Linked DNA regions of Canis lupus familiaris. The protein of the gene in region 4 purifies or fractionates together with the protein of the main gene of each other region. This does not show direct contact. Links are inferred from orthologs where the notes say so. Each region holds a gene or a part of one and is shown on either strand. Other genes may lie near its edges.

Region 1 (4,051 bases), on a different chromosome or scaffold from region 4:
GGGCCGCACGCGGCTGGCGGGGTGGGGGTGGGGGAGGGGGAGAGACACCAAAGGCGACCTTCCCGCGCGCCCCGCCCCTGGACCCGCCCCGGGGGGCGTGTCAGGAGGAACCCACGCCCCCAGAGCCACAGCCGGCCACTTCCGACCCCAGCTGCGGATTTTTAGGAGACTGCCCACCCCTGGAGCTTGGGGTTTCGTCTCTTTTTTGGGGGGGGGGGGTTTCGTCTCTTGACTAGAGAACCAGTCAGGAGGTACCCACGTGCCACCCCTATCGGGTGGTGGACTTTGAAGGCCTCTTTAGCCAGGTTTGGGCCAAGTATTTTTTCCAAAGACTTCTCGATCAGCATGGGGTGCGGGAGGGACCAATCCTGGGACCACTCCCAACCTCTCTGTCCAGCCCAGACCAGAGGCCATTGAGCTCCCTTTGGGCATGGCCTTGGGCCAGCCACCATCTAGGCGGCCTTGGTCATCGAATACCTACTGGTTGCAGGTCCTCTAGTGCTGGGTTGGAGTGGGAGGAGGGAAAAAAATCTGCACCATCCCTCCTGCCAGGATAAACCAATCAAGATAGGCTTCTACAACACTCTGACTGCAAAACAAGAAAAGTTACGTTTCAGTTGGCCTCTTAATACGCTTACGCAGTCAGCTTGCCAGCACTTTGCCAAATATGGAAGGTAAGTTAGAGGTGATCTGTCTTAAACGTCCCCCAAAACTAAAAATTCACGTTGGAAGCCAGTGCCTCAAAGGGAAAGGCAAAGCCAAACCCTCCCAGTCCCCCGGAGCTCTCAACCCTGCTGGGGAATTTGACCAACCGCAAAGTGGAAATCCTGGTGTACAGAGGAACCTGGATTTCAAGTAAGAGCAGTCCTGATATTCTATGGATTTGGAATCCAACTGCTCACCTGGTCAACTAGTGTGTCTCAAGGAATGTAGCTACAAGAATCTGATTGCAGTTACTGATTTCCCCAGGCCATGTAGGGGTAGGTGAATTATGTGAAAATTCACATGCGTATGTGTATATTTTCAGGGGGAAAAGGTCTGCGGAGAAATACACACTAAAATGCCAATATGCACTGATTCATCAGGTCCTATCTATTTAGGTGACAGAGACTGGGCGACACAGAATTATCTGGCGGCCTAGCAGGAGACAAATGGGGGCAAGACTAATACCTCTTATTTTCTTTCTAGTCTCTGTTTTCCACAGTGTGAATTGATATCTTCTCTAGCAACCATAAAAACAGGTTTTATTTAGAAAAAGGAAAATGCTTTTCCTTCAGAGGGCTGAGTCTTGGAAGGAAAGGATCAATCCCGAAGCCCCTCGGCTCGGTCGTCGAGGTTCCCACGGAACCACACTTGGGAGCGTCTTGTATCCAGCGGTGCAGCCCGAAACAGCGGAAGTGAGGTATTTGCCATCGACTTAAGCCGCGTGTTTCTCGTACTGATCCGCAGAAAGACCGCAAGAAAGGTGACGGGCGGGAGATATTACCGCAGCCACCTTGGCAGGACCCCCGCCCACAGCTCTCAGGTTTCAGGGACGCAGATGGTTCGGTTCCTATAGTCCGCTACTACCGGAAACGGAACGCCTCGGGCAGGCTGGCGATTGGACGCGGGGCCGGAAGCGGAAGCTGAAGGTTGCGTGTGGAGGTTCGCGGTATGGCTGAGGCGGTGGGTGCTGCGGCCGAGTCTCTGCCGGGAGACCGGGCGCGTGCGGCGCGCACCGTGCTGGATCAGGTGGTGCTCCCGGGTGAGGAGCTGCTGCTGCCGGAGCAGGAGGACGCTGAAGGCCCAGGGGGTCCTGGGGAGCGACCGCTGCGCCTGAATGCGGGGACGCGCTCCCGGGGGCGCGTCGTGTGCGGCCCGGGCCTGCGGCGCTGTGGCGACCGCCTGCTGGTCACCAAGTGCGGCCGCCTCCGTCACAAGGAGCCCGGCGGCGGCAGCGGCGGTGGCGTTTACTGGGTGGACTCACAGCAGAAACGGGTGAGTTGGGGGACTCCGGAGAGGTGGTACGGCCGTGAGGGGGATATTCTCGCTCTGCATGGGGCCCTGGACCTCTTCTCTGCGAATGCTGGTCCAGAGCCACCGTAATCTTGTGCGCACCGCTGCATTCCCCTCAGAGGGACTGTGAGCAAATGGAGCGTGGCCCGAGAAGGAGACAAAGGAGACTGGAAATCTTGGCGTCTAAGAGGATAGGGATTGTGAGACAGGGTCATTGCCTACAGAGTCTCAAAGGTCAGGGAGCACCAGAACCAGGCTCAATAAGAGGATGTAACAGGGAGTTAAATTTCTCTTAGAGTAGGTAAGAACTTTAATATGGGAAAGTTTGTCTAGCAATGAAATAGCCTTTCTTGGTTGTAAGGACCCCGTCCCCTGTACCATTGGACTTCATATGCCAGCAGAAGCTCTAGGAAGTTTTTTTGTTTTGTTTTTTAAGATTTTACTTATTTATTCATGAGAGGCAGAGACACAGGCAGATGAAGAAGCAGGCTCCATGCAGGGAGCCGGATGTGGGAGTCGATCCCAGGACTCCAGGATCAGGCCCTGGGCGGAAGGCCGGAGCCAAACCGCTGAGCCATCCAGGGATTCCTGCTCTAGGAAGTTCTGATAAGGAAATAAGAGGTGTGGGATACTGGCTCAAATGAACAGAGTATTAAAAGCTGTAAACCTGAGAGTTTATGGTGTGATTTTTTTTTTCTTTTACTGAGAGTAACATCACATTTGTTGTTGATTTGTATTAATTTGTAAACTTGAATTTCAAAATATTTTTTAAATAACTCTAATGACCACTAAGGACTTATTAAAGATATCTTCCAAGATACCTTGGAAATGATTGTCATCTATGACTGTTCTTTCATTCTGTTTTCTTCTGTAGTATGTCCCCGTGAAAGGAGACCATGTGATCGGCATAGTGACAGCTAAGTCTGGAGATATTTTCAAAGTTGATGTTGGAGGGAGTGAGCCAGCTTCTTTGTCTTACTTGGCATTTGAAGGTGCAACTAAAAGAAACAGACCAAATGTGCAGGTAATGATGGGAACTTTTGGTTTCAAAAAGAAGAAAAGCATACGAATATCCAGAAACACTCAAATAACCAAAAGGCTACCTAAATTGTCTCCTAAGCATGACCTATTTTCCTAGCTCTATGGGGTCATCTCTGAGCGTCTGTGTAATCACTTTGGGGTCCAAGAGTTCCTTCCAGTGCTCCAGCTCTAACCAGAGTCACATACTTATTTTACATTTGCTATATTGGGGGCTGTTTCATCTCTACTGAGTTGAAAGGTTATATTTGTTCTTTCTATTGTTTTTTGTTATGTCCATATCCACTGGACAAGGAAGTAAACCATAAGCTGGGGAAGAAGGAGGAGTAGATGGTGCAAATTGCCATATCAGCCATCTATCCATCCTGATTGACTGGCATCTCACAACTTCAGTCACATCACCATTTCCCAACAGCTTTGATTCTGTCTCTGATATTTTGCATGTTCATCCCTGTATGTCTCCATATTGCAAGTTCAGACCTTAGCTATTTTTTTTACCAGACTTGGTCAGTGACCTCCTCATTAACATCCCTGCCTCTACACTTGCCCTCTCAAAAGCCAACAGCCTCACACACTCTCCTTTCTCCAAAAGAGGAAAAAAAAAAAGTTTCTTTGAAGCCTATAGATTTCATTGGCATTATACTCCAGAGGTCCTTTCTTGTCTATAATTGTATCTATGCTTGAACTATCTCAAACTATTTATTTATTAACTAAAGATTTTATTTATTTATTCATGAGAGATACAGAGAGAGGCACAGAGCTAGGCAGAGGGAGAAGCAGGCTCCTTGTGGGGAACCTGCATCAGCAGGGCTCGATCCCAGGACCCTGGGATCACTACTGGAGCCAAAGGCAGATGCTCAACCACTGAGCCACCCAGGTCCCCCTATCTCAAACTATTTAATAGCACTACTGAATTCATAAGTCCCTGCTCTTGTACCTTTGCTTGTGCTGTTCCCTTTATCTGGATTGCTCTGTCCCCTTAGCTTATGGAACATCTCATCTTTTGAGAACCAGGCTA
Region 2 (3,937 bases), on a different chromosome or scaffold from region 4:
AAGCGCAAGCCTTTAGCACTGATCCCTCAGTAGCAACCACAGGCCATAGTGACATATGCCACCAGATTAGATGGGATTGAAGGCCACAGCACTCCCCTCTTTCCAAGGCTCTAAGTCACCATCTGTTTTCCTAGGGGAAACGATTGGTGAGGGCTGGAGGGTTTGCACAGGAGGGGACATATGCCAAAGTCACCAGAGGGCAAGAGAAACTAAGATGAAAGTCGTAGCAAATCTCATATGGACAAAGATGCTGTTCTCGGGATGTCTGCCTATCTTAAGCAGTAGCTGTCACTCATCGGTAAGAGCAGCATTCTACTCACGTGCAGACTTCCCTTCCGGACTAACATGCTCGAAAAAGAAAAAGTTATGAATGGGCCCACACGACCTGAGCTCCGCTTGAGAGGATCCGACTGCAAGACCTGAAGCTGCAGTCACAAAAATCCGGAAAAGGCTTTATTTCTGAATGGGGTGGTGTGGTCAAAGTGCGATAGAAGAAGTAAAAAAAAAAAAAAAAAAAAAAAAAAACCTTGGGTTCCGGTTTGGGCTCTACCTTGAACTGTCTTTGAGCCACTGGACAAGTCAAATCCTGTCTCTGGATCTGAGTTTCCAAATCTCTACAATGGGCAAGTTGGGTTGGCTAACCTCCTTCCAGCTCCAAGCGTTACAGCTGCCCCGAGAGTGCACTCCCCCAGGCTTGTGCAGGGCACGGCCGTGCAGGGCGCGACAACGAGAGAACAGGAACCTGAGCTCACGAAAAGGCCCCAAACAGGCCCCGACCCTACAAAAAAGGGCAGGACTGGGGAGCAAAGGCCGCGGCTCCGCTCTTACCTGCCGCCTGCCGACTCCCCAGTCAGCCAAATGGAACCCCGCAGCCTCCGCCGCCGCTCACTGCCACCCCCGCCAGCTCTGCAACCCGGCCGGGCCGGTCTCAGTCCAACCAACCATCGCCGGCCACCCGAAGAACCAGCCTGCAGACTGGGACCCGCTGCCAGCCCATCCTGGACCACAGGCGCAAGCGCAGGCGTCCCGGAGCCCCGCCCCCGCCCTGGTCCCGGAGCAACCTGGGAAATAAAGTTTGACGGAGGAGGTGCTCCCGAAGACCACGTGATAATTCGCACCAATTGGCGCGTTTCTTACTGCAGAACTGCTCCTGAACTTTGGCCAATGAGAAGCCGACTTCGTTTCCCTCCAGTGGCAGTCATGGCGCCGCCCGTGAGGTACTGCATCCCGGGTAAGTGTGCGGGGACCGAAGCGAATTCTGGATGGGACAGGGAGGCAGGAAGGCTGCATGACCGACACCCTCTGAAGACCCATGACTGATGCAGCGTTTCTCTTCAGGCGAACGTCTGTGTAACTTGGAGGAGGGCAGCCCGGGCAGCGGCACTTATACTCGCCACGGCTACATCTTTTCGTCGCTTGCTGGCTGCCTGACGAAGAGCAGCGAGAATGGCGCGGTAAAGGGGGCTGCTTCCCATTTCCTCCTTCTCTGCTTTTCTTTTAGGCTGCTTTTGATTTCGCGGTCGATAGGAAAGGGCACTGCGGACGCGTCTTTAGGACCTCAGCAGAACAGCTGGTCTCCGAGTTTCTTCCAGCTGAGGTCTCCACTGCTGGGCACCTCGCCACCACAGGCCAGATGTGGTCCCGCTTGATTCTGTTGCTGACATTCGGGGAAGGAAGTTAGGGGACGAGCAGAGGCGGGTTCCGCCTGCAGTGAGCTGAATCTTGTCCGGATGTCGCCTCCCTTTCTGGTTTCATCTTGCTCCGCTATTCCCACCCCACTCTGCAGTCTAGTCACACAGGCTTCTTTGTCGCTGGTGGGGTAAGCTCTCTTCTGCCACAGAACGATGAACACGCTGTTTGTCACGCGCCCATCTCCTCCTTAGCCTCTTTAATTCCCACCTACTTTTCAGATGGCCTCTCTAGTGTCACTTTTATCAGAGTAGCCCTCCTAGACCCACTAGTCAGGGAAAGGAGTTTTGTGAGCTTTTATTTTTCGTTTTGTTAAACTCTCACAAAGAACTAAATTTCTTTCCTCTGTGTGCTCTTCTTTGCATAAAATTAAGCATTCGGTTACCTGTTCCTCCTAGACTCTTCCCTTATTAGACTCTAAGTTCCACGAAAACAAACCTTGCCACCATACCTTTAGTGCTGAGCACAGCAGCCTATGCTCAATAAATGTTTGTTGAATGCTTAACACTGATCCAGGATTAGCCCAGGATCGGATAAACAGTCTTTGAAGGACCCCCTTAAAGACAGGGAGCATTAATAGAGAATTCAGAATTAGAACATTTAGGTACTGGCTAACTAGACCTTGTTTCTGCTTTAGGTTAGAAACTTGATCTCTCTGGTTTTAGTTTTTGCTCAGATGTAAAATGAAAGACTTTTTAATCAATTTTAAGACTGTAACAGTTCTAAGTTTGTTCGTTTCATAGAAATAGATATCTATTGAGCATTTTCATGTGCCAGGCACAATCTTTACCTCTAAAGATATGGTAATGAGCCAAATACACATGATCCCTGCTACCAAGGGACACAGACATAAATTACAAACAAGTAAAGGTTCAAATTGGTTTATGGCTACAAAAGTCATGACTGTTTTTGAAAGAATATTACAGGTTACCATGAGAACATGTAAAGGACAAACCCATTGTAGTCAACAGAAGTGATGTTTAACCTGAATCTAAAGGATAAAGAAGAGTTGAGTGGGGAAAAAAAAAAAAAAAAAAGAGTTGAGTGGAGAGCACAGTCCTGGGAGAAAGAACAGGTTGAACACAAATCCTGAGATGGGAACATGTTTAGTGCGTTAGTGAAACTGAATGAAGGTCCGAAAACTGAAGCATAGGAAACAAGGAAGAGGCAAGTAAAAGATGAGGTTCAAAATATGTCTTGGGGTGCCTGGGTGGCTCAGTTGGTTGAGCGTCCGATTCCGGATATCAGCTCCGGTCATGATCTCAGGGTCCTGGGATTAAGTCCGGTGTCAGTGCCCCCTCCCCCCCTCAGTGGGGAATCTGCTTGAGATTCTCTCCCTCCCTCTCCCCACTTGCGCATGCTTTCTCTCTCTCTCTGAAATAAATCTTTAAAAAATACATATTTTATACCAATAGCCAATACCATGCTCAAAGGGAAAGCTACAAGTATTCCCTTAAAATAGAAAAAAATAAAGTATGGCCATTATTATATAACATTTATTTGGAAATTCTAGCCAGTACAATAGAGTGAAAATCAGAAGGAAGTAGTAGAACTTTGAAGAGAAGAGTCAAGTTATCCACAATTGATTATATACCAAGAAATTCCAAGAAAACCACAAAAAGAAAACTTGTTAGAACTGTTCTGAAATGATTAGATTATGTCTTCTGGTAGCATCTTTCTTTTGAAAAATGGCCCCTTGACCTTCCTATTTGCCTTAAATTTCTAAGACTGTCTGCCCTGGGCACATATGAGTCTGTAGTCCATCTGTGCTTGTGATCTCAGCTGTGGACCAAAGCATTCCTACATTATTCTTAAGCCAGATACCTTTATGGAAGGCTTAGTCAGGATCTCACATTTTATTGTTCTGTCTATAGCTTCCTGTGATTTCTGTGATGAGAGAAACAGAATCTCAATTGCTACCAGATGTGGGGACTATTGTAACCTGTAAGGTAAGTAGGTCTTAACCTCCCTTCTTAGGACACCTGTTCAATGGTGAAATCATGATCATTGTGGAAGTGCTCTGTCTTATGTGGCAGTCACTAGCCATATGTGGCCATTTAATTGAAATGAATTAAAATTGAAAGTTCATTTCCTCCATCTCACTAGCTACATTCCAAGTGCTCACGTATAGTTGACAGCTGCCTTGTTGGCCAGCACAGAACATTTTAATCATCACAGTGTTACTGGACTGTGCCGGCCTAGAAAGTTCTGGGATAGTGATCAAGGCAGCCAAGTTCAAGCATGCGTA
Region 3 (3,611 bases), on a different chromosome or scaffold from region 4:
GGGAGCCCGACGTGGGATTCGATCCCGGGTCTCCAGGATCGCGCCCTGAGCCAAAGGCAGGCGCCAAACCGCTGCGCCACCCAGGGATCCCGATTCACCCGTTTTATTGCACAGTGGGAGCTGGCGGGAAAGGGGGGGCACACAGCCTGTGCACATCCCCAGGCCCCGGGCGGCACCTCCCCGACGCTCAGCCCTTTGGCTCCGCTTCCCACATTCGCCCTTGAAGCCCGGGCTCAGCAGAGCGGCCAAATAAGGCAGCTGGTGCGGGGCATGAGCATCCTGTCCGGGCGGACCGGGACGGGGAAGGGGATGGAGACTGGGATGGGGACGGGGACAGGACGTAGACGGGGTGGGGGGGGACGGGGACGGGGACGGGTCGGGGGGAGGGGAGCGACAGGGACGGGGACGGAGGGGCGGGGGACGTGGACCGGAACGAGGACGGGGACCGAGTGGGGGTAGGGGGACGACGGGGACCGGGACGAGGACGGGGACGGGGACGGGGAGGCGGGCGGGGGGGGGGGTTTGGTCGGGGGCGGTTCCACGGCGCTGGGCCGCCAGGAGGTGTCGGAACACGAGTCAGGACGGGGTAGGACGCCCGCGACGGCCACTCCTCGGAATCCCGCGGGGTTCTAGCCCGGCCCCGCGCGCCCTCGCCCCCGCACCCGGGCAGCAGCGGGGGAGCATCTGGGCGCGTCCACTCCGCGGGCGCCGAGCGGCCAACCGGAAACTAGTGGGCGTTCCCCAGGGTTATTGGGGCAGATTTCTCAAGGTCTTTTTTGAGTGAAAACCATTAAAGTGTATAAAATGCTCTCATTAAAATAACCGGAGTTCCCAATGCCACGCGGCTGTACAACCGCGTGTGCTCCCGATCCGTCTGCGGTTAGCGTGAGCGGAGAAGAGCAGACGGGAGCACTAGAGGGTGCGGGGGGAGGGATGGGGGGCGCGCGGGGCGCTGAGTAGGGCGTCAGGGGGCGCGGGCAGCGCAGGCGGGGGAGGGGCAGGGGGCGGGGCGGGACGCAGGCCGGAGCCCGCCCCCCCCCCCCCCCCCGAGACCCGGCGCAGGCGCGTGCGGCGTGACCCCGGGAGGCCCGGGGGCGTCAGAACCGCCCTGCGACAAGCCCGAGGGGGCGCGGCCGGCGAGTCTCCCCGCATCCGGTCTCCGCCTCTGGCAGCCGTGGGACAGCTCCCCAAACGGCCGCGGGCGCCGCCTGCCCCCGGGGAAACCGTAGTTCCCCGGGCCGGAAGTGGGTGTCGGACCGCCGGAAGCCGTAGGCCCCCAGAAAGCCGGAAGTGGGGTCGGAGCCGTCGGGAAGTGTAGTTTCGCGGGAGTCGCAAGCGCGGCCAGCCGCCGGAGACATGGCGGGCCTGGAGCTCCTGTCGGACCAGGGCTACCGGGTGGACGGACGGCGCGCCGGGGAGCTGCGCAAGATCCAGGCGCGGATGGGCGTGTTCGCGCAGGCCGACGGCTCGGCCTACATCGAGCAAGGCAACACCAAGGCGCTGGCGGTGGTCTACGGGCCGCACGAGGCGAGTGGGCGCGCGCGGGCGGGGCGGGCGGGGCTTGGGTTCCCCGGCGCTGGGGGTACCTGACCTCGTCCTCCCGGGGACGCCTTCCCGACCGCCTTCCTCTCCTGGGGAGCCCCTCCCCTGCCTTTCCGAAGCCCGTGGGCTCCGCGTTCGACTTCTCGGGAGCGGAGCGTCAACTCCATGAGCGGAGGGACTGTAGCTAAACCCACCTGCTGCTACTGCCTGGCGTCCACGCCGGAGCGGGGAGGATGGCTGGGGCACGTAGCGGGGCGCGTTCGCAGCGGCGGAGATGGGGAGCAACTCGGAACGAGGTTTGGGGGGCTCTAGGGAGGCAGGAACCCGCCGCGCTGTAGGCCAGGGACACGACTTAGGATTTCACGGGTGATGGGGAAGCTTTAGGAGGCGTCAGGACATTGACGCAGCGAAAGTGTATAGGAGATGACATCAACCGGGATATTTTTTTTTAAGCTTTTATTTATTTACTCATGATAGAGAGAAGCAGAAACACAGGCAGAGGGAGAAGCAGGCTCCCTGCAGGACCTCGGGGTCACACCCTGAGCCAAAGGCAGACACGCTCAACTGCTGAGCCACCCTGGCATCCCGAGCCTGGATATTTGTGAACACACCTGCTCTGGCCACGGATGGAGAATGGGTTAGCAGGGGACGAGGCAGGGATGGAAACAAGGAGGCCTGTTAAGAGAAGTAATATCAGACATGATGACTTGGAGACTGGCCAACTGGCCCTCCGATGGAGGTCCTCCTGCTTGCTTATGGAGATGCCGGAAGTAGAGGGAGGGTGACGGGAAGGCGTAGTGTCAGCTGTGGAGGGGTGAGCCTGACTCATGTGTCCTTCCTCCCCCAGATCCGGGGCTCCCGGGCTCGAGCCCTGCCAGACAGGGCCCTGGTGAACTGTCAGTATAGCTCTGCGACCTTCAGCACAGGCGAACGCAAGCGACGACCGCATGGGGACCGAAAGTCTTGCGAGATGGGCCTGCACCTACGTCAGACATTTGAGGCAGCCATCCTAACACAGCTGCACCCACGTTCCCAGATAGATATATATGTGCAGGTGAGCAAGCAGCAGCCATCAACCCAGGAAGGGAGGGGGAAGGAAGGGGAAGCAAGGATGGGAGTCGGGGGACAAGAGCCTAATGGACCGATGCCACTGGGCGGTACTTGCAGGTGCTGCAGGCAGATGGTGGGACCTACGCAGCTTGTGTGAATGCAGCCACGCTGGCAGTGCTGGATGCGGGAATACCCATGCGGGACTTTGTGTGTGCCTGCTCAGCTGGCTTTGTGGACAACACAGCCCTGGCGGACCTCAGCCATGTGGAAGAGGCAGCTGGTGGCCCCCAGCTGGCCCTGGCCTTGCTGCCGGCCTCAGGCCAGATTGCACTGCTTGAAATGGATGCTCGGCTACATGAGGACCACCTGGAACAGGTGCTAGAGGCGGCTGCCCGGGCTGCCCGTGATGTGCACACTGTGCTGGACCGTGTGGTTCGGCAGCATGTACGCGAGGCCTCTATTTTGCTGGGGGACTGAGCATCTGGCCCCCCATGCCCAGAATAAAACTCACATACAATCTGCTATACTTTAATTTCCCCACAGCACTTGCACACCCTCAGATCCTGGCCTGGTGCTTGCTCTGGGAGGTGACTAGGAACCGTCCCCATCCCCCGCACATGACATACCTTTTCCAGCTTCAAGACCCAAACCCTGAAGAGGAAGGTCGGGGAGCCTGTCTGCGGATGAACAGCCATCGTGCTAGGAAAGGTTCAGGCAGCTGAGCAGTGAGGCAGGGCCTGGCATAACGAGCCAAGCTGTGAGACGAAGGCAGTTCTCAGACCAGCACATCCACAGCCCACATCCTCTGGACTATGGCTTGGACTGCATGGCCCCCTCCACCCTGGGAGCCCTTTGGGCCTCCCTAGCCTTAGGCTCGGAAAGCACAACAAATGTTCTCCCCTGGGGTGGTGCGGAGGGGTGGGGAGTCTTCACACATATCTGCGGCGCTGCCTGAGCCCTCACCCGGGCACCTCCTGATCTGAATAGGATTCCCCACTTTCTAGTCCACATACCCCAGG
Region 4 (4,199 bases):
GCACAGCTCCTCAGAGCTCCTTTTTTGTTTGCTAGATAGGATGCTGGGCGATCCATAAATCCTTAAATAAAGCCAATTTGATCTTTAGATTTACTTGAATTTTTTTTTTTTTTAACACTAGGAAGCTCTGATAGCCCCAGCCAGCTGGTTGAGGTGCCTTAACCAGAGCTCAGCATCATAAAGTCCTTCGATGCAGGAGCTCTATTTTACTCATCTGTGAATAACACAGTCATTAGTTAAGAGCCTGCTTTGGATTCAGCCAGATTCTGGCTCGAATATTGACTCTACCACTTAATAACTGGATAACCTTGGCCACTTAACCTTCTCTAATCCTGTTTCATCGCCTGTAAAATGGGGATAATAAGCCTGACTCCACTGACTTGTGGAAATCAAATGTGACACTTGTATGTAATGCCCCTGGTACAGCTCAAAGGTCTCTGTGAGTGCTTGGAAGAGCAGCGCCTTCTAGCCAGCGAGGAGTGTGTGATCCCTGAAGAAACTGGGCCTGGGTCTCCCAGCCTGAAAGCAAAACTCCTGGGGATCCCTGGGTGGCTCAGGGTGTGATCCTGGAGACCTGGAATCGAGTCCCACATCAGGCTCCCTGCATGGAGCCTGCTTCTCCCTCTGCCTGTGTCTCTGCCTCTCTGTCTCTCATGAATAAATAAATAAAATCTAAAAAAAAAAAAAAAAAAAAAGCAAAACTCCTTTGCCACAGGCTGCCGAGGCCAGAGGCCATCAACGTTGGGACTGAACAGATAGTGTTGACCTCAAGGAAATGGGATTGGTTTTCATTTTATCTGCATTGTTTGAATTTTTACTTGGATTAAAAATACATGGAATTAAAAATAAATACTTTTTTGAGCGGGGGGGGTGGGGATAAAAATGCTGGTCTGGCAGCGTTTCTGGCTTCTTCATCGGAATCTTTTAGCTCTTTTAAGAAAGCAAGAGCGAGGAACAGAGGACACTAACTAATTAATTCCCCACCCTGCAGCCCCTATGCCCATAAGGACCTGGGGGTGGGGGGGGGGGTGGAAATAAATGTCCAAGAATCCTTCAGGGTTGCACCCAACCTTGCAGATTGCTTCCACGCAATCTACATATGTGGTCTCCCCGGGGCGTTTTATTTTGGGGTCAGCTTCCTCCTCTCCCTAACCGCCCCCCCCCCCTCCGGGGGGCAACGGTGGGCAGGCGGGAAACTGAGGCGGGGCCAGGCTGCAGCTCCGGGGCCCCTCGCGGCGCTCCTGCGGCTGCAGCGCCGCCCGGGAGCCCGCGTAGACCAGGCGGGCCGAGGGGCGGGCCCGGAGCCGCGGCCTCGCTTCCGCCCGCGCGGCGCCCGCCTCCTCCCGGCAGCTCCCCGGGCGGCCTCCGGGCCGGGCCGAGTCCCGCCAGCGCCGGCGGCATGCTGCAGAAGCGGGAGAAGGTGCTGCTCCTGAGGACCTTCCAGGGCCGGACGCTGCGCATCGTGCGGGAGCACTACCTGCGGCCCAGCGTGCCCTGCCACAGCCCGCTCTGCCCGCAGCCCGCCGCCTGCCGCAACGGTCGGGGCCGGGCCGGGGCGCGGGCGGGGCGCGGGGCGCGGGGCGCGGGGCCAGGCCGCTGCTCCCGGGCTCCGCACCCCGCCCCCATCAGGCGCAGGGCCCGAGAGCGCGGCGCCCCCACGGCCCAGGGGCCTGGCGATCGAGGCTTTCCGGGGGCGAGGGGGGTGATGGGGGGGGGACGTGGGTGCAGGGCCTGCCCCTGATGCCCCCCGGGACGGCGCACTGATGAAATGGGGGGTGCCGGGCGGTGAGAGGCGGGGCGAGGCACCGTGCTGCTGCTCCTTCGACACTTCCAACTCCCCACCAGTGTTAAAGATTCTATTTATTTATTTATTAATGAGAGACACAGGCAGAGGGAGAAGCAGGCCCCACCACGCAGGGAGCCCGACACGGGACTCGATCCCGGGTCTCCAGGGTCACGCCCTGGGACAAAGGTGGTGCCAAATGGCTGAGCCGCGCAGCCAGCCCGCATGCCTCAGACTGGGGGACAGCCGGCTGCCCTAAAATGTGTCGACTGTCTGGGCCTGGATGGTTGCACAGGAAGGCCTTGGGGACGTTGGATTTGGAGCCGCTGTGCGCTAACCTTCCCCGCCCCCCGGCTTGGTTGCTCAGCTGCAAGGGTGGCCCCGGGTTAGCTGGGAAGATCTCTCCCCTCCCTGGTGGGGGAGGAGCAGGGCCGTGTGTATGTGTATGTGTTTGGGGGATCAAAGAGGGGGGTCCTTCTCGGAGAGTATTTGGAATCCTCAGTTTGCAGCTTGGCTCACCCCGCTCCCGGAGATGCAGGCCGCGCGGAAAGCCTAACCCCTGCCCTTGCGTGCACTGAGCATCCTTTCTTTTTTTTTTTTTTTAATTTTTATTTTTTTTATTTATTTATGATAGTCACACAGAGAGAGAGAGAGAGAGAAGGCAGAGACATAGGCAGAGGGAGAAGCAGGCTCCATGCACCGGGAGCCTGATGTGGGATTCGATCCCCGGTCTCCAGGATCATGCCCTGGGCCAAAGGCAGGCGCCAAACCGCTGCGCCACCCAGGGATCCCTGAGCATCCTTTCTAGTCGATGCCGGCTTTCTGGCCCCTGGAGACTTCAGAGCATGTACACGGGCTTGATTAAGAACCCACTTGAAATTGCTCGGCAGAAACAAGTGGTTAACATATATATTTCGGGGGACCTCCCCCCGCCATTTGAATGTGAGTGTATGTCAGTCCCTTAACAAATACATATTTAAGGTGTGCTGAAGATGTTTGCTTTTTAAAAATTTCGTCTTCTGCACCACTGGCAACACCATAAACCACGCTGAGCTTTTCCTTTGCGTAGCTTCAGAAAAATGAAGCTGCTGGGTTTACCTGAACTTTGGACCTCTCCCAAAGCAGACGTGTCCTGTCCTTTAAAAACTTCAAGGTGAAAAAAAAAAAAAAAAACTTTAAGGTGTAGTTGAGACTGGGAGTTATTTTTGTAGAGTGCAGCACCTTGATGCTCAAATAGGAATAAGCCAAGTTTGCAAATGTTGTCTAATCGCTTACCTTTTGAATTATGTTTTAGATGGGAAACTCTTGTCTAGTGACGTGACTCATTACATGATCCCAGATTGGAAAGTTGTTCAAGATTACCTGGAGATCCTTGAGTTCCCAGAGTTGAAGGGAATTATTTTCATGCAGACGGCTTGTCAAACCGTGCAGCATCAAAGAGGTCGCAGGTATCCATTTTGCATTATTTTTTATTTCTATACAGCATATTTTTCTTTTCCCCTTTAGAAAAAGGTCCCTTGTTGGCGGGAATGGGGAGGAATTCGTTATTTTGTCAGAAAGGACTTTTTGAGCTAATTTGGTATTCTCTTCGCTGGTGAGGAATGCAGTGACATTATTTTATATTTCTGCTTCAACACCTGGCCGAGAGATCTGACTATAGATCAATAAACTGCAGTGTCCCTGGTATATGGGTATTTAAGATTCTTGGCTTTGGGTTTGCATTTATTTTTTAGATGTATTGTTTCAAAAGCCTACCCTTTTGTGTGTGTGTGGGGGGGGACTATTTTATTTTTAAATTTTAAACTGTTTATTATGGGTGTAAATTGTACTTGTAGTGATTTATTTATTTAAGGAAAGCAGAAATAACTTGCTTTATTTTTACATTACTAGTATAACTACCAACCATACTCATTGTATTTGCTAAACAAAGGACTTCTGATTAAAATCACTCTAAAATGATTGCCTTATACCTAAATGAAGAACAATTGTTCACCTTTTAGACAAATATCTAAAAAATGGCTTTGCCTCATTTAACATTGGTAAAGGATTTATGATTCGAACATGAAGACTGCATGGAAACAGCATATTGGAATTATACATCCAACCTCTTAACACCCCTAGTTATTTAAAGAGAAGAAACTGTGTGTTTACTCTTTTTTAAATGTGGTTTCTTCAGACTTTGGTGGTAAAAGATGAAGTATGTTTATTTGTGTGTGAAAATGATGAGTTGTCCTTACATGCTCAGTTCAAAAAAATGTACATTAACTAGATTGCAGATTTTTCAGATAGAATATTTTTAAATGAGTTTGAAGTTGATTTTGCTGAGACACAAAGATATAGATGTTTATTCACATTCGGGTTTGAATGCTGTTCCAGGTGTCGTATTTCAATTTCTGCTACTAAAATCAATTTGTTG
Region 5 (3,302 bases), on a different chromosome or scaffold from region 4:
GGGAAGCATCCTTCACTTACCCAATGCATCCGTCCAGCCAGCTCTCCACCTGCCATGAGGACATTTGGATCTTGGGACCTTTAAACAGCCCTGTCTGTCCTAACCCAGCAGTAACTGGAACTCACGCACCTGGGAGCTAGCCTGTGACTCATTGCTCACGTTACATTTCTGCCCTGAGCCCTCCCTACATACCAGCACCATGTCTAAAACCACTACCCCAGGATTGCTATTTATCATGACAATGCTCGTGTCTGTAGATAAGAGTTCTTTTAGGCCTCTCTGCTGCAGAGAATAAAAGGACTATGTGCAATACTCAATGATGCTATGTGATCTCTTAACCCCCCACCTCTCATAGGAGCCCCCTGTGTAATAGCCTATGGCCCCAACTGGCTTCTGGTTGTGGTCCTCATCGAGTCCAGCTCAACTCCTGAACTTTGGGAATGGCCTCTGGATTACCTGAAGACATTGGTGAAGGTGGCCCATAGGATGGGGAGTTGAGTGGGTGAGATGGAGAGAGTCATTAGTCATTCAATAGAAGATGGGCCATGGGGTTACTGGAAGCACTTTATAGGAGAAGCTCTCCCATTCTTAGGCCTGTGTCCCTCTTCCTCTCCTTTTTGATGTTGAGCAGTCAGGTGTGAGATCAGAGGTGTTCTTAGGGTGCATTAGGTGACTACCCCTTTCCCTTTGACCCATCATTGCTGGTTCCCTGACCCAAAGATGGATAGGATCGATCGGGACCTGCCCTGGTCCCGAATCCCTTCACTCAAGTCTGAAGACAGCTGGGTTTGGAAACTGTTCGCTGGGGAGGTTAAAGGTTCTGCTTGTTTGTGCTAGCTCTGGCTGATTTCGTGTTCCCTGGGTACAACAGTTGGCAGTGGGGCCCAGGTTAACTAGTCCCGCTGACAAGGAAGGAGGCGAGCAGCAGCAGAGGCTACCTGCTCTGGTCACCAGCCTGGGGGTGAGGGCCCGTCCTCGCCGGGAGTGAGAAGCAGCAGGGGGACATGGTTCAGCAAGACGTGCCAGGTGAGGACTCCTAGGGGTACGGAGTGTACACAATCCAGTGCAGGAGAGAGAATGTTCCATTCAACAAGCGTTACTCCTGCCAGGGCACTGAGGAATGACCATGTCTTGGGCAAGACGGGAACACGTAGGAGATGGTCACACGTGTAAGTGCAAAATAATTTCAACCTTTACAAGTGAAAGGACGCAGATGTGCGCCCTGGGGTTGCGCTGGCCCGAGAGGCTAGCGTTCAGGCAGGCCGGCCCGGTCCCCCCGTCGGCCCACCCCCTCGGCCAGGGACCTCCCGGCGGCCCCGCGGCGGCCCCGCGGCTCGGCTGTGGTTCCTCCGGGACGGCAGGGGGCGGGGCGGCGCCGGCCGCCGCTATCCCGACAGCCCTCGCGCGGGCGCGCGGCTTTAAGCGGGCGGAAGCGCCGGCGCCGGGGCCGAGGGGACGGGCGGAAGCGGCTCGCACGCCAGGCGCCGCCATGCCCGGGGACCACCGCCGAATCCGCGGGCCCGAGGAGTCGCAGCCGCCGCAGCTGTACGCGGCCGACGAGGACGAGGCGCCCGCGGCCCGCGACCCGACGCGGCTGCGGCCCGTGTACGCGCGCGCCGGGCTCCTGAGCCAAGCCAAGGGCTCGGCCTACCTGGAGGCGGGCGGCACCAAGGTGCTGTGCGCCGTGTCCGGCCCGCGCCAGGCTGAGGGCAGCGAGCGCGGCGGCGGCCCGGCCGGAGCGGGCGGCGAGGCCCCGGCCGCGCTGCGCGGCCGCCTGCTCTGCGACTTCCGCCGCGCGCCCTTCGCCGGCCGCCGGCGCCGCGCGCCCCCGGGCGGCGGGGAGGAGCGCGAGCTGGCGCTGGCCCTGCAGGAGGCGCTCGAGCCGGCGGTGCGCCTGGGCCGCTACCCGCGCGCGCAGCTCGAGGTGTCGGCGCTGCTGCTCGAGGACGGCGGCTCGGCGCTGGCCGCCGCGCTCACGGCCGCCGCGCTCGCCCTGGCCGACGCGGGGGTCGAGATGTACGACCTGGTGGTGGGCTGCGGCCTGAGCCGCACGCCGGAACCCGCGCCCACCTGGCTGCTGGACCCCACGCGCCTCGAGGAGGAGCGCGCCGCCGCCGGCCTCACCGTGGCGCTCATGCCGGTGCTCAACCAGGTGGCCGGGCTGCTGGGCAGCGGGGAGGGCGGCCCGCCCGAGAGCTGGGCCGAGGCGGTGCGTCTGGGCCTGGAGGGCTGCCAGCGCCTCTACCCCGTGCTGCAGCAGTGCCTGGTGCGGGCGGCCCGTCGGAGGGGCGCCGCCGCGCCGTCCTGAGCCGGGAGCCCGAGCGACCACGGACGCCGAGGACCGAGCTGCCCCCGTCCCCCGAAGGACCCTTGCCGTCCGCTGCCAGACTGCGCGGCGCGGAGAACTCCGGGCGGGAGAGGATCCGACGGGGCGTGCACAGCGCCGGACGGCTGTGTTGGGACGGCTCTTGAGAGACTTCTGTTAAAGAAACGTTTCTACTTGAGCAGGTGCTTCCCAGCTACGACCCAGGTGAAGAAACTTGCGAATGCAGCTTGCCTCCCAGGTTGGGAAGGACTTCAGCTGGACTCATCTGGAGGACGGGACTTGGAACTGTTGTAAGGGATGGACCCTGTGCAGGCCAGCTAGTGACTCCCTTCTATAGACTTGGGCTGCTTTTGAGAGAATGGACAAGGGGGCTGTGCCTTCTCATTTACATCTGAGCTAAAACAAACTCCTTTATATCTGGAAAAGTCTATCGTGGTTCATCTCGGTAGTGAATTTAAAAGAACAAGGTTCTTTTGTGCCCTGTAGTCGACTCCTGGTGTCAAGGGGTTGGGGACAGCATTGTCTTAAATGTGTCCTGTTCCTTAGACCAACATAAGCAGAAAAGACTGGCTGAAACTAAAGGAGGTGCAGGAGTTGGTGTGGGGAAATGTGCTTTGAAGGAGGTGAAGGTGCCCCTAGAGTAGCAGAGTTGGCCATTGCCAAGGTGACAACAGTAGGGAAGGTTGTGTGGGCCCAGGAGCACTCTGGGTGTACTCTGTGGCCTCTGGTTTGGTGCTGGGCAAGACCACAGCTCAGGTTTGGGTAGGTGGAAGGGGTTTGGCTCTGGGTGGAAGCTAGAGGCCTCCCCCACTGCTGCTAAGAAGTAGGGGTCCAGGCTGCCTTTTTTTTTTTTTTTTTTTTAATTTAGAGGCATGCAAGGGGGTTGACAGTGGGGAAGAAGAGAGAAAATTCCACACAGACTCCATGTTGAGCGCAGAGCCTGATGCTGGGCTTGATCTCATGATCCTGAGATCAT
Region 6 (4,277 bases), on a different chromosome or scaffold from region 4:
GTATTCATAATCCCAATGCTGTGACAGGCCCCCTAAATGTGGGTGCTGTGAGGATGGGAGGGGCTGAGGTTATGTCCATCTCTCTTGGGATGAAAGTGGATGATGTCAAGAGTACCCTACTCTTAGTCTAGGGACACTCCCAGGCCTAGCTCCCTAGCGGGCTGGGTTACCTTGGCTCACAGGACACTACTGCCCTCTTATGGCGGAGGCCAGACTCAACAGATGGATCTTCTCACCCTTCTGTAGCTCTCTTCCTCCAGGCAAGCGTCTGGTATGTGCATGCCCCATGGGGCTCCAGAATTTATATCGTTTACTGCCTTGCAGGATTGACAGGCATAGTTGGGAGCTTTGCTTAGAAAGAAATGTTGGGGTAGCCCAGGTAGCTCAGCGGTTTGGTGCCGCCTTCAGCCCAGGGCGTGATCCTGGAGACCTGGGATCGAGTCCCACATCAGGCTCCCTGAATGGAGCCTGCTTCTCCCTCTGCCTCTGTCTCTGCCTCTCTCTCTCTTTCTCTGTATCTGTCATGAATAAAGAAATAAAATCTTTAAAAAAATAAAGAAATGTTCTCTATTTGGAGACTAATCAAGCAACTGGTCTGATGGATCTTCAGGAGGCAGTGGACCTGATTTACTGAGCATAGTGTGTGTGGCTGATGCAAGTTATTTAATCCTCTTAAGGGTCTTTGTGCATAAAGAATCATCAGCTCCAATTCCCTGAGGTCGAAACGCAGTTTGTTGTGGATGCTATGAACCATGTAGGACAAGGAGAAGGGATAGGGTAGTGGGAGGCAGGGAGAAGGGAGGAGGCAAATGCTCCTATTGAACAGGACACGGAGATAAAGCCACGTATTCACCCTATAAAATACACCCGCCTTGCAAGCTTTGTATATTTTCTTGGGCGGGTTTCTTTTTAAGTCAGAGTAAATCAGCTCATTCAAAAGAAGTTATTAAGAACAGAACCAGCATCTGGAGTACTGTTTGGGGGTAGAGGTGGATGGTTGGTGCTGAAGGAGCACCCACGAGGAGGCAGTAATGCAGTATATTGGGGCTACGAGGAACAGTATGAAAAGGACCTCTTTTTTTTTTTTTTTTCCCAATGAGTGTTTTCTGTAGATGCCATCCCCAGTCTCCCGAGCTCTCTCATACCGAAGAATCACATTTTAGCAACTTAGAGTTGGAAGGTAACTCACAGGCCCATTTCTCAATTACCTCTAACCCTGGTAAACAATGAATAGGATGATGATTACGGAGAGATTTTTGGTGAAAAAAAATCGAACGCTCCGAAACCTGATATTTCATGGATCTGTAGGTGGAGCCTTGCCAATAGTAAAAATGGCAACTTGGCTCCCTCATTCCCTTCGTGTTAACCTAATGGTTGCCAAGAGTAAACATGGCCACCGAACTGTGCGTTCCCATTGGCGGCCGCTCTGAGACCCGTGCGACGGCCGGGAATTGCGGAGCCGGATGTCGCGATTCCAGGCCGAACTGCGCCTGCGCCATTCTTTGGCGCCAAGATGGCGATGGAGATGAGGCTTCCCGTTGCTCGCAAGCCTCTTAGCGAGAGCGTGGGCCGCGATACCAAGAAACATCTGGTGGTTCCGGGGGACACGATCACCACGGACACGGGATTCATGCGGTACGTGAGGACTTGGGGACTCGCGGCCCCAAAGGGCAGCTGCTGGGCTCTCTGCACGTGGCCTCTGTTCCCTTACATCTGAGCACCCGCCGGACGCAGGGCACAGTTGAGCATTCCCGCCCCCATGTTTGCAAGGCCTCGGGCTTCTTACTCTGCGCACCTTGTGTGTCTCCGTCTCCGTTTGCCTCAGTCCTTGGTAACCCTTCTGTCCCGACCACTGGTGTCAGGGACTCCTGGGTTCTCTGCTTGAGGCCCCGATCGCCTTCTTCGTGGGAAATCTGCAGAACTGGGGAAGGTTAGGAGCAGGGGCCTCTTTCCAGTGTTAGGAAGAGGGACCAGTGGGCATTCCTGACCCGGCCTCTTCTCTCGGCATCTGTTAGCCAGGTGCTCGGTTTTGAAAGCAGTAATTGTTTGGGCGTAGGGCATACACAATATATTGTGCTACATGCACCCAAATCTACACGTTGAACCTGAAGGCAGTACAATATGTGTAGTTGAGAGTGCAGGCTCTTGAGCCAGACAATTGGGGTTCCAGCCCTGTACCGTCACATATTTATAAGCTAAGTTGTATTTCCTCTCCGAGGTCAGTTTCCTCATAATGTATTATCACTGTGATAATAACAGTGACTATTTGATAAGAAAGTGAGGATTACATGAGGAAATAATTTAAGAAAAGAAGCGTCTCAGTCGGTTAAGTGTCTGACTCTTGATTTTGGCTCAGGTGTGATCTCAGCGTCCTGAGATGGAGCCTCTGCGCCCCCTCCCCGTCCCCCCCCCCCCCACGCTTGAGATTCTCTCTCCATCTCTGCCCCTCCTTTTTCTTTCTCTTAAAAACAAAGAAGCAAAAAAAAAAAAAAAAACAAAGAAGCAGAACTCACCATTATAGGTAAACACTAGTGGTATTTCAGCCTTTGGGTGGGGGGAGGGGTGTTACAGCATTTACAACATTGCTCTTGAACCTTTTAGTTTGAGGTTATTGGATCCTAAGGAATCTTAAGTGTCCTTCATTCATGAATGAAGTATATGTTTGTCTTATGTGCAGTTGGAGCAGGACTGTGACCAAAGTAGAACTCTCTCATGTTATTTATATTTCGAAACAGATAAACAGTAAGCAGGACAAACAAGTTAGTATGTTTGGTGATAAATTCAGTGGGGAAAATGGAAAGTTGAGCAGGGTAGGTGGAATGTGGTTGGAAATATTGTGGAGGTGGTGGCAGTGGGGTGGGTAACTATTGTAAATGACTTAAAAAAGTCAGATAGGCCAGATAGAGAAAGTGACATTTCAGTAGACTTGAGTAGGACAAGGGAGATGTCTGTGCAGCTCTTTAAAGAAGGAGTGTTCTGGGCAGAGAGACAAACCGGGCTTTAAAGGCAGGAGGAGCCTGTTAAGAACATATTGTTCTTGGGGACGCCTGGGTGGCTCAGCAGTTGAGCATCTGCCTTTGGCTTAGGTCATGGTCCCGGGTCCTGGGATCGAGTGCCACATTGGGCTCCCCATGGGGAGCCTGCTCCTCCCTCTGCCTGTGTCTCTGCCTCTCATTGTCTCTCATGAATAAATAAATAAAATCTTAAAAAAAAAAAAAAAGAATATATTATTCTTGGGGGGAGAGGTCAACTCTTACCATCGTATATTTTGTATCCTACTCTCAAAACAGGGGCCATGGAACTTACATGGGGGAAGAGAAGCTCATTGCATCTGTGGCTGGCTCAGTGGAGAGGGTAAACAAGTTGATATGTGTGAAAGCTTTGAAAACCAGGTGAGAACAAAAGGTGTGTATTCTCTTTCTTGCGCCATTCAGGTTACCAGCCAGGTCTTTTCTGCCACAAAATACCCCTTACCCCCACCTGCTTTATCATTTAGCAGGTCTGTGATTTTGAACATGACTATATAGAAAGGGTATAGGTGACTGTAGTTAAGTGTGGGCTTCCAAGGATCCCCACATTACTTGACCTCTCCAAACCTTGGTTACCTCCTCTGCAAATTGAGGGTAATAGCATGATCTACCTTGTAGGATTTTCACTAGAATTCATTGAAATAAGACATGTAAAGTACTTAGCTCAGGGCCTACTACCTAGAAGGGCTCAATAAAGGTTAGCTCCAGAAAGGAAACCGGTGGTTTTGGAACCTTGTGAGCAAGGGTGGGGGAATGCAGGAGAAGATGCAGGTAGAGAGCCGAGGTGGGCAGACAGCCTGCCTTGTAGCACAGATAGGCATTTTCTTTCTTTTTTTTTTTTTTTCCACAGATAGGCATTTTGACTTCCACTTTATGTAGTCTGGGATGCCACTGGGAGGGTGGAACAGAAGAGGGACATGGTCTGAATTTCTGTCTTAATAAATTCACTCTGGCTGCTAGGAGAGATTGAGGGGGAACACATGCTTAGAGAGACGATTAATGGACTGTTTTTATCATCTGAAGTGATGGTGGCTTGGACTAAGGTAGCAGTAGAAGTGGGTAGTAATGGCGGATTCTGCATACATTTTGTGTTCTGAGTTTTTTTGTTTTGCCCCCCCCCCCCTTTTTTTTTTAAATCATGTAAGTGTGTTGGGTTTAGTATTCTTTGGGATTTTCCATATATTGGACCATGTGTGTGAATAGACATAGTTTTACTTCTTCCTTTCCCAGTTTGGATGCCTTTTATTT
Region 7 (4,161 bases), on a different chromosome or scaffold from region 4:
ACTCATCCTATCTCATTTTTTTTGACTCTCGATGGTCCTCCTGATTGAAACACTTATCCTTTCCTCCAGGTTGATATCATGGCTGCTCCTTGTCATCACTGACAATTCCCTTAACTCAAATGCCACCTCTACAAAACTTCTTCCTGCAACTACCCCTATTAAAATAGCCACCCCATTCTCAGATGGCATTCAATATCTGAACTTGTTTTTTTTTTTTTAAAGTTTTTATTGTTTGTCTCTTCTAAAAAGAGAATAGAAGTTCCTCGAGGAAACAGGATTTTGTCCACCACTGTTCTCCAGCATTTGAATTATTCTTGGGACATAGAAGCGCATCCCCCCACCAAAAAAAAAAAAAAAAAAAAAGAATTTATTGAGTATGTGGATTGCAAGTGCTACAAACTGAGACTACAATGTCATCACCCTTAGGGGAAAAATCTTGTAAGATGAAACAAAAGTAGTGGACTGGAACCTGAAAAGGAATCGTAGTGCCTATTACCTCTGAAGCAAATGTCAACCACATAATATGCAAACACTTGCATAGGACTTACTCGTTCCAGACACTGTTCTAAGCATTTTACATGTGTTAACTCGTTTTCATCCCTCATAATAAATAGGCGTATCACTCCTACTTTGCAGATGAATAATGTGAAGCCCATACACTAACTCGGCCAAGGTCGCAGACCTGTTAGTCAAGGGCAGAGGCAGAATTTCAATCTGGATCGTCTGGAGTTCCTGCTTTTAACTATTTCTCGGTACCGCCTCTCCAAAAAAAAAAAAAAAAAAAAAAAAAAAAAAAATGCCAGGTGGTCGGCGCGAGCATCCGGTTCCTCTATGCCCATGAAATTAAGTTTATCAGCTTGAAATAACTGCGGAGACTGAAAACACACACACACACACACTTAGTCAAGGCTAGCGGGGATTATAACGCTGTTAGTTACAAAGTGGTTAATATTCCCAATTCTTGTCAACTCCTCAAGTCTACGAGATTTCACCTTGAGCCCGCAGTTAATACCCCCCTCACCCCAGTTTCTCCTCCTCCCCCCCCCCTTCGCGCGTTCGCTCCGGGGTTTCTCCTCTGAAAACGTTTACAGACTTGGCCTCTGCAGCTTCCTAGCGGCTGAATCCCAAGTTCTTCATCTCTGTGAGTAACAATACCTGTCTAGCTACCCCGTTAGAACTGATGAAACGGTGGAATGTGAAAGCCCCATGCGGATATCGACTTCTATGCCTGATAGTTACACCTGCCTCTCCGCCAGCGCGCTCGCCTCTCCCACTCTGCTCTGCACGCGAGCGCCCGCGGGCCTCCGCGCTTGCGCACTGGGGCGGCCCCCGCCTCGCCCCTCCTCAGCCGCCGAGCTTTGATGACGTAGGTTTCCTGCGCGTCGGAGCCCGCGGGGCGCGCGTGAAGGGGGATCCAGATCACTTCTCCCAGCGGATTCCGGTGCTGGTGTGTTCCGTGTGCCTGCAGCATGAAGGAGACACCACTTTCAAATTGTGAGCGCCGTTTCCTACTCCGCGCCATCGAGGAGAAGAAGGTAAATGGCCCCGGAGAGCTTCGCGGTGCGAGGGCGGTCTGGTCGCGCGGCCGCCGGCAGCCTTCCGGCTTGGACCAACCGAGCTGGCAGTCGCAAGCGCGGGGGTGGGCGGGGCGGGGGGTAGAGAGGTTACGGGGTGGCCGAGGGGGGTCCGGGGGGGCGGAGGGGTGAAGGGTCCAACGGAGCTGGCCTTCGCAGGCCCGGGGGTGGGTGGTAGGAAGGTTACGGGATGGGTGAGGGGGGGTCCAACGGAGCTGGCCTTCGCAGGCCGGGGGGGAGGTCGGGGGGGGCGGAGGGGTGGGGGGTCCAACGGAGCTGGCCTTCGCAGGCCGGGGCGGGGAGGTTAGGGGGGGCGGGAGGGCGAGGGGGGGTCGGGGGGGGCGGAGGGGTGGGGGGTCCAACGGAGCTGGTCTTCGCAGGCCGGGGGGGAGGTTAGGGGGGGCGGGAGGGCGAGGGGGGTCCGGGGGCGGAGGGGTGAGGGGTCCAACGGAGATGGCCTTCGCAAGCGAGGGGGGGGAGGGGGGGAGATGGGGGGGAGGGGGGGAGATGGGGGGGAGGGGGGAGGGGGGGAGAGGGGGGGGCGGAGGGGTGAGAGGGTCCAACGGAGCTGGCCTTCGCAGGCCGGGGGGGAGGGGGGACAGGTACGAGGTGGGGGGAGAGCCCCTGAGGGGAAATGCCCCAATCCCTCAAGTTTTTTTTTTTTTTTTTTTTTTCTTGGCTCCGGTTGGGTTCAAGGCTGGAATCACACCAGCAACTATTAGTGCTCAGGGACCGAGATTCCACTTTCCGATGGGATGGGGGAGTGGTTAGGAATCGCCGCCGCGCCCCCCCGCCCCATGTTTAGCTCCGGCATAGAGTAGCTGCTCAATAAATACTTGTTGAAGGAATAAATGAATGAATGTTCTGCTTACAGCGGCTGGATGGCAGACAAACCTATGATTATAGGAACATAAAGATCTCATTTGGAACAGATTATGGGTGCTGTATTGTGGAGCTTGGGAAGACAAGGTAATAAAGGATTCGAATTAGATGAAAGCCCAACAGGGAGAATTTTAAAAGAACCTTACTGAATCAGTTGTTTACAAAGCAGCTAAGAAGTGTGCACAGACTTCTTTGTTTTGCTGCCAAAATAAGTATATTTTCTTAAATGCGAGAGTTTTGCGGATTTATAGTTCACATTTAAGATTTTTAACCATAAACGTATTTTTTGTTCCATGAGTATCATAAAATGTATTTTTCATCCCATGAGTATCACGTAGTTTTCTGATCTCTTCAAGCCAGCAGTAATTGCCCTGAATTTGTTTCCTGTACTTCCCATTAAATGGTCCTACTTTTCTCATTTTCCTGACATGAGAATTAGGTTTTTAATATTCATTTGGAAGCTGTAAAAATATTGTTCAGGTAACGTTAGCTAGCCATGCCATATGAAAACTCTTAAGAAATCTCAAGTTTTCATGCCATCTTGTGTTGATAAATAGTTGTTTTACAAAAGCAAAGATCATTGATTTTTAAAAATAAAATCTATGGAATAGTATTATAGGAAGAGTTTTTTTTTTTTTAAGATTTTATTTATTTATTCATGATAGTCACACAAAGAGAGAGGCAGAGACACAGGCAGAGGGAGAAGCAGGCTCCATGCAGGGAGCCTGCCGTGGGATTCGATCCCGGGTCTCCAGGATCACACCCTGGGCCAAAGGTAGGCGCCAAACCGCTGCGCCACCCAGGGATCCCAAGAGTTGTTTTTTCGTACCATCTTTTTGAGTACACCAATATGTGTTTTATTTCTGTATATATTCTAAACTCTATTTGTGATTTCAGCCTCTAATAGTACATCATACTGAGTGTGTGATTACTCAGAGTAAGATCAAAACTTAATTGGTATCTGTTTTAGGTTAATTTTTAATTGGAAAGGAGATATATTTAGTTAACAGATTTGTGCTTTATCTTTACAGAGTTCTTGGACAGGTTTCCTGTGAACTTGTTTCTCCAAAACTCAATAGGGCAACAGAAGGTATTCTTTTTTTTAACCTTGAACTCTCTCAGATGGCTGCTCCAGCTTTTGAACCTGGCAGGTATTTAAACCTTTTTTTTTTTAAAAGCTGCTTTAGCCAGAGGAGAACCTAACAGCAGTGAGCTATTGTTTTAATGCCTGGTGTTATATTTCATGACATTAGCCCATTCCTATTTTCATAGGCAGTCAGATCTCTTGGTGAAGTTGAATCGACTCTTGGAAAGATGTCTAAGAAATTCGAAGTGTATAGACACTGAATCTCTCTGTGTTGTTGCTGGTGAAAAGGTGGGGAATATGCCCAAAATTCTTAATCTTAGGCTGAGTATTGTTGATTCATGGATTCCTGTATCTGTACTTTTATTCTCAGAGCTTCTGTTAACTTAGTTTTATACTGATTCACTTCACTTAAAATGTTCCTGAGTGCTACCCATAGAATTTTATGTCATCTCTCTCTGAAGAGACAATAAACCTCAGTGAAAGTATCAATCTAGATGTGTATAAAAATGTGTTATTTAAAGAACTTGTGGTTTTTCATATATTCTATTTTCTTATGTTCTTTGGGTTGATAGAAGCAGTTAATGTGTTCCTTTTTTACGAATGAAAGAACTGAAGAAC

What was found.
Region 1: the proteins of DIS3L (region 4) and EXOSC3 purify together in Homo sapiens (affinity purification with mass spectrometry; 6 studies listed by BioGRID and IntAct, counting the BioPlex papers as one, with this or other methods). This does not show direct contact. The link is inferred for Canis lupus familiaris from reciprocal best matches to the Homo sapiens genes DIS3L and EXOSC3.
Region 2: the proteins of DIS3L (region 4) and EXOSC1 purify together in Homo sapiens (affinity purification with mass spectrometry; 4 studies listed by BioGRID and IntAct, counting the BioPlex papers as one, with this or other methods). This does not show direct contact. The link is inferred for Canis lupus familiaris from reciprocal best matches to the Homo sapiens genes DIS3L and EXOSC1.
Region 3: the proteins of DIS3L (region 4) and EXOSC4 purify together in Homo sapiens (affinity purification with mass spectrometry; 5 studies listed by BioGRID and IntAct, with this or other methods). This does not show direct contact. The link is inferred for Canis lupus familiaris from reciprocal best matches to the Homo sapiens genes DIS3L and EXOSC4.
Region 5: the proteins of DIS3L (region 4) and EXOSC6 purify together in Homo sapiens (affinity purification with mass spectrometry; 3 studies listed by BioGRID and IntAct, with this or other methods). This does not show direct contact. The link is inferred for Canis lupus familiaris from reciprocal best matches to the Homo sapiens genes DIS3L and EXOSC6.
Region 6: the proteins of DIS3L (region 4) and EXOSC2 purify together in Homo sapiens (affinity purification with mass spectrometry; 5 studies listed by BioGRID and IntAct, with this or other methods). This does not show direct contact. The link is inferred for Canis lupus familiaris from reciprocal best matches to the Homo sapiens genes DIS3L and EXOSC2.
Region 7: the proteins of DIS3L (region 4) and EXOSC9 purify together in Homo sapiens (affinity purification with mass spectrometry; 3 studies listed by BioGRID and IntAct, with this or other methods). This does not show direct contact. The link is inferred for Canis lupus familiaris from reciprocal best matches to the Homo sapiens genes DIS3L and EXOSC9.

What each region holds. Positions count from the first base shown.
Region 1 is NC_049232.1:54,409,432-54,413,482, reverse strand, and holds the start of EXOSC3 (exosome complex component RRP40), read left to right. Parts: upstream 1-1,251; 5' UTR 1,252-1,653; coding exon 1,654-1,977; intron 1,978-2,869; coding exon 2,870-3,019; intron 3,020-4,051. UniProt on the Homo sapiens protein: Non-catalytic component of the RNA exosome complex which has 3'->5' exoribonuclease activity and participates in a multitude of cellular RNA processing and degradation events.
Region 2 is NC_049249.1:10,920,242-10,924,178, reverse strand, and holds the start of EXOSC1 (exosome complex component CSL4), read left to right. Parts: upstream 1-1,137; 5' UTR 1,138-1,164; coding exon 1,165-1,231; intron 1,232-1,338; coding exon 1,339-1,454; intron 1,455-1,501; exon of another isoform or gene 1,502-1,819; intron 1,820-3,563; coding exon 3,564-3,638; intron 3,639-3,937. UniProt on the Homo sapiens protein: Non-catalytic component of the RNA exosome complex which has 3'->5' exoribonuclease activity and participates in a multitude of cellular RNA processing and degradation events.
Region 3 is NC_049234.1:38,326,332-38,329,942, forward strand, and holds EXOSC4 (exosome complex component RRP41), read left to right. Parts: upstream 1-1,133; 5' UTR 1,134-1,356; coding exon 1,357-1,527; intron 1,528-1,587; exon of another isoform or gene 1,588-1,775; coding exon of another isoform or gene 1,776-1,838; exon of another isoform or gene 1,839-2,217; intron 2,218-2,389; coding exon 2,390-2,596; intron 2,597-2,709; coding exon 2,710-3,069; 3' UTR 3,070-3,111; downstream 3,112-3,611. UniProt on the Homo sapiens protein: Non-catalytic component of the RNA exosome complex which has 3'->5' exoribonuclease activity and participates in a multitude of cellular RNA processing and degradation events.
Region 4 is NC_049251.1:31,034,316-31,038,514, forward strand, and holds the start of DIS3L (DIS3-like exonuclease 1), read left to right. Parts: upstream 1-1,399; coding exon 1,400-1,538; intron 1,539-3,077; coding exon 3,078-3,231; intron 3,232-4,199. UniProt on the Homo sapiens protein: Catalytic component of the RNA exosome complex which has 3'->5' exoribonuclease activity and participates in a multitude of cellular RNA processing and degradation events.
Region 5 is NC_049226.1:76,859,546-76,862,847, reverse strand, and holds EXOSC6 (exosome complex component MTR3), read left to right. Parts: upstream 1-1,489; coding exon 1,490-2,308; 3' UTR 2,309-2,802; downstream 2,803-3,302. UniProt on the Homo sapiens protein: Non-catalytic component of the RNA exosome complex which has 3'->5' exoribonuclease activity and participates in a multitude of cellular RNA processing and degradation events.
Region 6 is NC_049230.1:53,364,602-53,368,878, reverse strand, and holds the start of EXOSC2 (exosome complex component RRP4), read left to right. Parts: upstream 1-1,477; 5' UTR 1,478-1,513; coding exon 1,514-1,635; intron 1,636-3,290; coding exon 3,291-3,392; intron 3,393-4,277. UniProt on the Homo sapiens protein: Non-catalytic component of the RNA exosome complex which has 3'->5' exoribonuclease activity and participates in a multitude of cellular RNA processing and degradation events.
Region 7 is NC_049240.1:19,160,748-19,164,908, reverse strand, and holds the start of EXOSC9 (exosome complex component RRP45), read left to right. Parts: upstream 1-1,361; 5' UTR 1,362-1,469; coding exon 1,470-1,535; intron 1,536-2,448; coding exon 2,449-2,543; intron 2,544-3,487; coding exon 3,488-3,607; intron 3,608-3,728; coding exon 3,729-3,831; intron 3,832-4,161. UniProt on the Homo sapiens protein: Non-catalytic component of the RNA exosome complex which has 3'->5' exoribonuclease activity and participates in a multitude of cellular RNA processing and degradation events.